Linked DNA regions of Macaca fascicularis. The protein of the gene in region 1 interacts with the protein of each later gene in a biochemical or structural test. Links are inferred from orthologs where the notes say so. Each region holds a gene or a part of one and is shown on either strand. Other genes may lie near its edges.

What was found. The genes of interacting proteins can lie anywhere in the genome.
Region 2: of the proteins of RNF8 (region 1) and histone H2B type 1-B, one has a biochemical effect on the other in vitro, tested with the Homo sapiens proteins (2 studies listed by BioGRID). The link is inferred for Macaca fascicularis from reciprocal best matches to the Homo sapiens genes RNF8 and H2BC3.

Annotation. Positions count from the first base shown.
Region 1 is NC_088378.1:134,283,948-134,287,693, forward strand, and holds part of RNF8 (E3 ubiquitin-protein ligase RNF8), read right to left. Parts: intron 2,052-3,746; coding exon 1,314-2,051; intron 1-1,313. UniProt on the Homo sapiens protein: E3 ubiquitin-protein ligase that plays a key role in DNA damage signaling via 2 distinct roles: by mediating the 'Lys-63'-linked ubiquitination of histones H2A and H2AX and promoting the recruitment of DNA repair proteins at double-strand breaks (DSBs) sites, and by catalyzing 'Lys-48'-linked ubiquitination to remove target proteins from DNA damage sites.
Region 2 is NC_088378.1:146,884,722-146,889,071, reverse strand, and holds the start of histone H2B type 1-B, read right to left. Parts: upstream 2,966-4,350; 5' UTR 2,913-2,965; coding exon 2,536-2,912; intron 1-2,535. UniProt on the Homo sapiens protein: Core component of nucleosome. Nucleosomes wrap and compact DNA into chromatin, limiting DNA accessibility to the cellular machineries which require DNA as a template.

The DNA.
Region 1 (3,746 bases):
ATCCTTTTGCCTTTAACATTTTGGTTCAAAAAAAAGATTTTGCAGCTATACCTTGAGGCATGTCCAGAGCAGCCACAAATATTAATCAACAGTAACTTGTTCGTGAACATATTAGCCTTTACAGAGAGTTCTGTCCTAGTGAAGGTGTGATATACTAAACACGTAGACATAAACCACCCTCTACTAATTTCAAGAACTAGTCTAGGCTGGATAAGGGAAGCAAAAAGGTACATGTAAGGAAGCAGTGTATACTCTCAAAAGACCTATTTAATCCATGGCTTTTGCTAATACTACCAGTTCAAGGGGATGGCAGAGATTAGAATGAAATTTATAAATTGCTCAGAAATAAGCCAACACTACCTCTGGTTGTTCCTTACCCTGACCAACCCAAACAAAAAAGTTTATTCACTTTAGTTGTGACTGGTCCGTGTGAGTTCTAAGTCAACAATAGGGAATTCTTGACATTCAATATTATCTGAGCAACTGGGTGGGAGTAAAATGTGTGGTTCCTGCCAGATAGGAAATGACATTTTGAGCAAGGACAGGATCTGCTCTAGCCTAAAGCTTTGTGCAAGAGTTTGTCATTGAAGCAAATGACTCAGGGATGGAAACACATTTGGTCTTACCTTTACAAAGCTAAGATAGTCATTATTTTACCTTCCTACTATAAGCACTGTGGAAGGTGGTTTATCATTCAACCCAACAATGCAGTCATGGTGCATCTGTCCCATCACATGCTGGCTGCTCAAAACAGAAACAAAAACATTTTCTGCCTTTTTAGCCTCTCACCTCCTGGGTTAGCTACAGAGTTAACTAACCTTTATAGCTAACAAACTGTCAGGTACAAGGGCAGAGGAACCAGCTGACCTGTACCTGCCCTGGGACTAAGTGATTTGGCCTTGGCCACAGAGCAAAGATACGTAAGTCTTGAAGACAACTAATGATTTAATTGGACTATACTGTGGTTTTGCGGCATCTTGACCTTCACCTAACTTCCCCCTGAATTCATGTTGGTTCTGAGTTGCCTCAGCTTTGCATCCTGAGATGAGTTATGTCCTGGCTGGCTCTGCTGGTCACTTTACCCTATCTTGGCACCCCATCTCTGGCTCTTGATCTCATCAGCATGCTGACGCCTTAACCCTCTACTCAGTTCCCTTCCCTGATCTCAAAAGTTTACTGTTCCCATTCCATTTCTTGTCTTTGGTGCTCAGAATTTGGTACCTGGCCCAGAAACTGAGAACTCTGGCCAGAGGCTCATGAAGTGCCCGCCCCACTCCTGAAGACCACTCTTGCCCTTCCCTTCTGTGTGGTACCTGAAGATGCTGTTCCTCTTCCTGGAAAGTCTTCTCTAGTTGCTCCACTCTTGCCTGCTGCTGCGCCTGCTCTGCACACAGCTGGGACTGTAAGTCCTGCAGTTCCTGCTCCATTCGCACAATTTTCTTTGAGTTCCCCTTTTGGGTCTGCTTTTTCACATTCATAACGGCTTCATGTTTTTCTTGCATCTGTATTTTCAGCCTCAGAATCCTGGACATGGTCACCTTAAACATCTGTAAGCTTCTCTGAGATGCTGAAGAGTTTGAGGCTTTCTGCTCATGATGAACCTCTGTGACTATGGGGAAGCCAGGGTAAATGGGAGCCCCTGTGGTCTTCGTACTTGGCTCAAGGGCAGTCAACTTAGGATCCAAATTTTCAGAGGGTGTACTGGCCACTTCACCTTTCCCCTGTGATTTCACTGACTGACTAGATTCACAAGACACTTTATTTATTTTGGATTTCAAATTTGAGGGGCCTTCAGCTCCAGGACCTCCTAATTGATCCAAACTGAATTTCCTTTTAGTTCTCAATTCCTTATTTTTTTCTATCATCTGGTCATTCTTTGGGGAAAGACAAGGATATATTGTCTCCCAGTCTTCTTCAGTAACTTCATATTCATACTCTGCATTCTCCTTATTTTCCAGAGGCACTCCAAGTTGGATGTAGTCTCCCTGATGAATGGAATAGACCCTTAAAGGTTCCAGACGTGCTCTGTTCAGCCAAACACCATTTAGACTCTGGGGAAAGTGAAAGACAGAAGAAATAAGCTTCGTGATTTTCGTCTTCTTAATGGAACCTCTCTCCTGCTGCTGTAAAACCTTCTGCCTTTTCAGAAGGAAAACTCTTGATAACAAATAGAAAAGAAAGGTTCATAAACTACCATCCCTAGAAACAGCATTCGTTAAGCAGTGCTTTGGCTTTTTACCTATATTTCACATTCATGCGTCCACAGAGAACTGCCATATTAACAGGCAGGAATCACCTTATTATTGGTGGATAATTTACTCAAACACATGGAATAGCATTAAAGGAAACTGAAATTGGCTAGCTCCTATTGACCTAAACTGGAGCAACGTCCCAAAACTAGAAAAAATATTATTAGTGAAGAAAGCAGTAGTTAAGGATGAGGTCCATGAAGTAGGTTCAAATGCTATCTCTGGATGTGGTTCCTTAACACACTGGTAAACAAGCACGCACACATAAATAAAAAAAAAAGAGAGTACTAAATCCGGTACTGGGGTCAAATGGCAGATAGGATCTGAGCCAATTAATACCAACAGGGATATATGGGCAATACAGGATAATGGTTAAGAGCTGGAGCTCTGGACTCAGATGCGGGTTCATAGTCCGCATGGCATTTGACAATTCACTTAACCTCTCCATGCCTGTTTTGTCTGCAGAATAGGGATAGTACAGTACCTACCTCATACTGTTTCTGTGAGGAATGAATAAGATAATGCATGTGAATCACTTAGCACAATGACTCACATAGAATAAATGCTTAATAAATATTTACTGTCTGGGAGTGGTGGCTTACATCTGTAATCTCAGCACTTTGAGAGGCCGAGGTGTGTGGATTACTTGAGGCCAGGAGTTCAAGACCACCCTGGCCAACACAGTGAAACCCCCTCTCTACTAAAAATACAAAAATTAGCCAGGTGTGGTGGTAGATGCCTGTAATCCCAGCTACTTGGGAGGCCAAGGCATTAGAATTGCTAGAACCCAGGAGGCGGAGGTTGCTGTGAGCCGAGATTGTGTCACTGCACTCCAGTCTGGGTGACAGGGCGAGACTCTGTCTCCAAAATAAATAAAATAAAATAAACTTTTATGGTTTTAAAGAAGTCATAGTATCGAGGTTAAGAGCACAGATCCTGGAGTGAGACTGCCTGGGTTTGTAATGTGGCTCTATCACTTAGCAGCTGGGTGATTTTGGCCGGGTTTCTTGACCTCTTTATGGTCCAGTTACTGCATCAATAAAATGGAGGAAAATAAGTCTCCCCTTATGGTGTCTGTGCGGATTTAATGAGATAACATATGGCAATTATTTAGACAGTGCCTGGGCATCGTGTTACATAAGTGTTCACTACTATTACTATGCCTTGGTTCAACTGATTCATCAACAATCATTTCAATTCTATGCTCAATGTCATGCAAGGTAAATATATTGAGTGAAAAGACATGAAAACTTTCAGCAGCTGACTGTGGAAAAGACAACACAAGGGCACAAATAAGTAAATGTGGGATTAAATGGCATAGCCTATAAATGCAAAGGAATATCATGTGCAGCTGGGAGAGCTAAGGGATGCTAAATGGAGATGACAGGTCCTAAAATAGACTTGAAACAAAGGCAAGATTCAGAGTTGAAATATACTGGCGAGCATTTTAACCCATATCAAGGACTTAAGTTCAGGGGATAGGCCAGAGATGATGCT
Region 2 (4,350 bases), about 13 Mb from region 1:
TTTCCTGTAACATATTTCTGGCCACCACAGAAGGGACTATAATACAGAAACCCTGACCCTACAGCTACCTTTGGATAAGTGTTGGAGTTCTGTAACAAAGGAAGAAAGCAGGCAGGCAAAAAATTTATGAAAGAACATATGACAAAATAATATCTGCTTCAAAACTTAATATTTTTAAATTTTTTTTTTAATGAGTCAGGCTGTTTTTTTGGGGGGGTGTGTCTCATTCTGTCACTCAGGTTGTCACGGCGCGATCTTGGCTTGCTGCAACCTCTACCTCCCAGGCTCAAGTAATCCTCCCACCTCAGCCTCTCTAGTAACTGGAACTATAGGCATATGCCACAACGCCCAGCTAATTTTTTGTAGAGACTGGATTTCGCCATGTTGCCCAGGCTGGTCTCGAATTGTGAGCTCAAGTGGTCTGCCTGACTAAGTCTCCCAAAGTGCTGAGATTACAGGCATGATGCACCTGGCCCAAAAGTTCATTTTGCAAATGCTTATATTAGCAGGTCTCACTTCTCCGGGGAAAGATCCTAAATATCAGTTTCTTAAACTGCAGCCTCAATTGCTTAGTAATGTTTTGGGGGAGGTGGTCGTTTTATAATTTTAAAAAAAATTATAGATTTTTTAAAACACAAGCGTCTCTTTCACAACGGTAGTTTGCATATACAGTACTAGGATGGGAAGTGCTTCACTTACAGTTGTTCACTGACATTTTGTGTGGCATCCAGATTTTTTTTTTATTTTTGAGACAGGGTCTGTCCTCACCCAGGCTGGAGTGCAGTGGTGTCATCACAGCTTACTGCAACCTCCACCTTCCAGGCTCAAATGATCCTCCCACTTCAACCTCCCCAGTAGTTGGGACTACAGAAATGTGCCACCAGGCCTGGTTAATTTTTAAATTTTTGGTGGAGACAGACTCACTAAGTTGCCCAGACTGGTCTTGAGCTCCTAGGCTCAAGTGATCCTCCCACCTTGGCCTCCCAAAGTGCTGGTATTACAGGCGTGAGCTGCACCACACCCGGCCCAGAACCTCTTTTAAAATATTCTTAAAAATTAAATCTGGGCCGGGCGCGGTGACTCATTCCTACGATCTCAGCACTTTGGGAGGCCAAGGCGGGAGGATCACTTGAGCCCAGGAGTTCACTTGACCAGCCTGGGCAAGATAGTAAGACCCTTTGCCTCCACAAAAAATTAAAAAATTAACTGGGTGTGGTGGCGCATTTCTGTAGTCCCAGGTACTCAAGGGGCTGAAGTTAGAGGATAGCTTGAGCTGGAGAAGTCGAGGCTGCAGTGAGCTATGATGGCACCTGGCCAACAGAGCAAGACCATTTCTCAAAACAGAAACAATAACTGTTTGAGAAACTTTATTTCTTCATCCGAAGACACTGCTGAATGTCACCTACATATAATGCCCGTAAGTTCACTTAAAATACTCCCCTCCGATTCCCCCATCCCCTCCTACTTAGTGTGCAATCAACAGGTTCTTTTCTTCTTCCATTTCTTCCCCCAGCCCCAGACCAAGAATTGGCCCATTAAGTCCTCCTCAACTAGTACCCTTCCTGCCTTTTTCTAGCTATATTGTTTTTGGCGTCCCGGATTTCTTGAAAAATGCTTCCCTCTCCAAGTGGGGCCTTCCTAGTATCTTTGCAGTAGGGCCAGTTGGGGAAAGGCACAAAATTCAAACCCTTTTGTATCTCGCAGAGCTGGAAATCCGAATTTTAAGTGGCCTAGGAAATGGGAATCTGGATTTCTGGGATGCATGAAATATGTAAACTACATAGCTGTTGTCATTGATAAACAATTATAACGCAAAACTACTGCGATTTCATTTTGTGGAACGGGAAATATTCCCTACAAAGGCGCCCGGGAAATCAGACTTCGCTTACTGTTTCCTCAATACTGGAGGAAATCTTTCCTTCTTACTGGAGGTAAGAATTTACAGCATAGGCAAACTGCAGGAGCAAATATCCCTACACGCCCTTTTGTCGCTTAGACTTTTCTGCTCCCCTCCCCCTCATCTCAAGCGGTTAACGGCTAATGACCCCCATAGAAACACTGTACCCTGAATTGCATTACTTGTTTCATTATCCAGAAAGGAAAGTTTCCTGTGCTAGACCAGGGAGGGAGTAGTGACCATATCAAATGAATTACAACTAGTACCCGAAGGCTTACCCAGGGGGAACAAAGAAGTTTGCTAAAGGCAGATGAGAAAGAGCGCCAGCACCCTCCTAACGTTTGTATTTTTAATAGAGACCATGTTGGCCGGGCTAGTCTCGAACTCCTGACGTCAAGTGATCCGCCCGCCTCGGCCTCCCAAAATGCTGGGATTAAAGGCGACAGCCACGGCGCGCTGCCCCAAGTTAACCTTGGCTCTAAAAGTTGCCTTCGCTAACATTCTAGTTGATCCTCTAGAACTGAAGCAGAACAGAGGCAGCACCACCTTAAGAAATTGTGGTTATAGCTCTCTTTGCGACAAAGTAGGTGGCTCTGAAAAGAGCCTTTGGGTTTGGAGGTGCTTACATAAGCACTTACTTGGAGCTAGTGTACTTGGTAACAGCCTTGGTGCCCTCGGACACAGCATGCTTAGCCAGTTCCCCGGGCAGCAGCAGGCGCACAGCCGTCTGGATCTCCCTGGAGGTGATGGTCGAGCGCTTGTTGTAGTGCGCCAGGCGGGAAGCTTCGCCCGCGATGCGCTCGAAGATGTCATTGACAAAGGAGTTCATGATCCCCATGGCCTTGGAGGAGATGCCGGTGTCGGGGTGGACCTGCTTCAGAACCTTGTACACATAGATGGAATAGCTCTCCTTTCGGCTGCGCTTACGCTTCTTACCATCCTTCTTCTGCGCCTTAGTGATGGCCTTCTTAGAGCCCTTTTTAGGGGCAGGAGCAGACTTAGAGGGTTCAGGCATCGCTATTCCTAAAACAAAACAAAAAAGCTACTAACACTCTCCAGCAGAGTAGTAGAGAGAACAGTTCAGAGCCCACGTATTTATAGTCCTGAGATTCAAATGACGGTTTAAGATTCCTCACTTCTGATTGGATAAAAGAAATACAGTTTCACTGAGGGGTGGGGTTTATGCAAATATGGAATTTATGGACTCTTTTTCTATTGGATAAAGCAGGAAACATAATTGACCAATAGGATAACTCTCTATTGCAGCCTTGCAGTTTGTATAAAAGTATTTCTTCAGGCGCCATTCCATCTTGCTTGTTTTTTACAGTTTTCAGAGGTCGCTGTGTTTGGACATGGAAAACGGAAGTAAAGCACAAAGTTGTTCATCGGTACCAGCCTTGCAGTTTCTAGTAGCGCAGGGTCCATCGTCTTTTTCGAAAGGGCAATTATTCTGAGCCTGTCGAAGCCGGCGCGCCGCTGTACTTAGAATACCTGGCCGCCGATATCCTGGAGCTGACACGCAGCGCCATACGTGACAAGACCCATAGCATCCCCCGCCACTTGCAGCTGGCCTTCCGCAACGACGAGCAGCTCAACAAGCTGCTGGGCAAAGTCACTATTACTCAGGGAGGCGTCCTGGCCAATATTCAGGCCGTCCTGTTGCAAAAATAACCGAGAACCACGATAAGGCCAAAAGCAAGTAAAGCCCACTCAAGCCAGAAAACGTACCTTAAACTTGCTACGGCATTTTTCAGAACCGTCCATTGTTTCACAAGAAAGGATGGTAACTTGCTTGTGTTTCGGGTACCTTTTGGTTTTGGTTTGGATTGGTTTGAGACAGAGTTTCGCTCTGTCACCCAAGCTGGAATGCCGCCGCGCGATATCGGCTCACTGCAACCTCCACCCCGCGGCTTCACCAGGTTCTCATGCCTCAGCCTCCTTTGTACCTGGGATTACAGGCGTCTGCTACCACGCCTAGCCAATTTTTGTATTTTTATTCGAGACGGGGTTTTCACCATTTTAGCTAGGGTTGTCTTGAACTCCTGGCCTCAAGTGATCCTCCCATCTTGCCCTCCCAAAATGCTGGGATTACAGGCGTGAGCCACGGCCCCCCTAGCCTAATGGTGTTTAAAAATTAAGTTTCGAGGAAATATCTTCTTTAAGAAACTACATTTTAGAGTATACAAAGTGAAACTAAAGCCAACCAAAATAAGACAGTTTGAGAACAGTCAGGGTGGGAATGTGACTTGGACTTAGAAAACGAAGGATAAGGAAACTGGCTGTTGACCAGTAACAAAATAGCATGGAATTCTCATTCTCTGAATGTAAGTAGTTTCCGACATGAGGCAGTCAACGTTTCTGGTGGTTTAGTGAGTGTTCACCAGCACTGATAACTTTCAAGACTGTCAGGAATGCAGAATTTCAAGTCCCACGCAAACTTACTGAATCGGAAT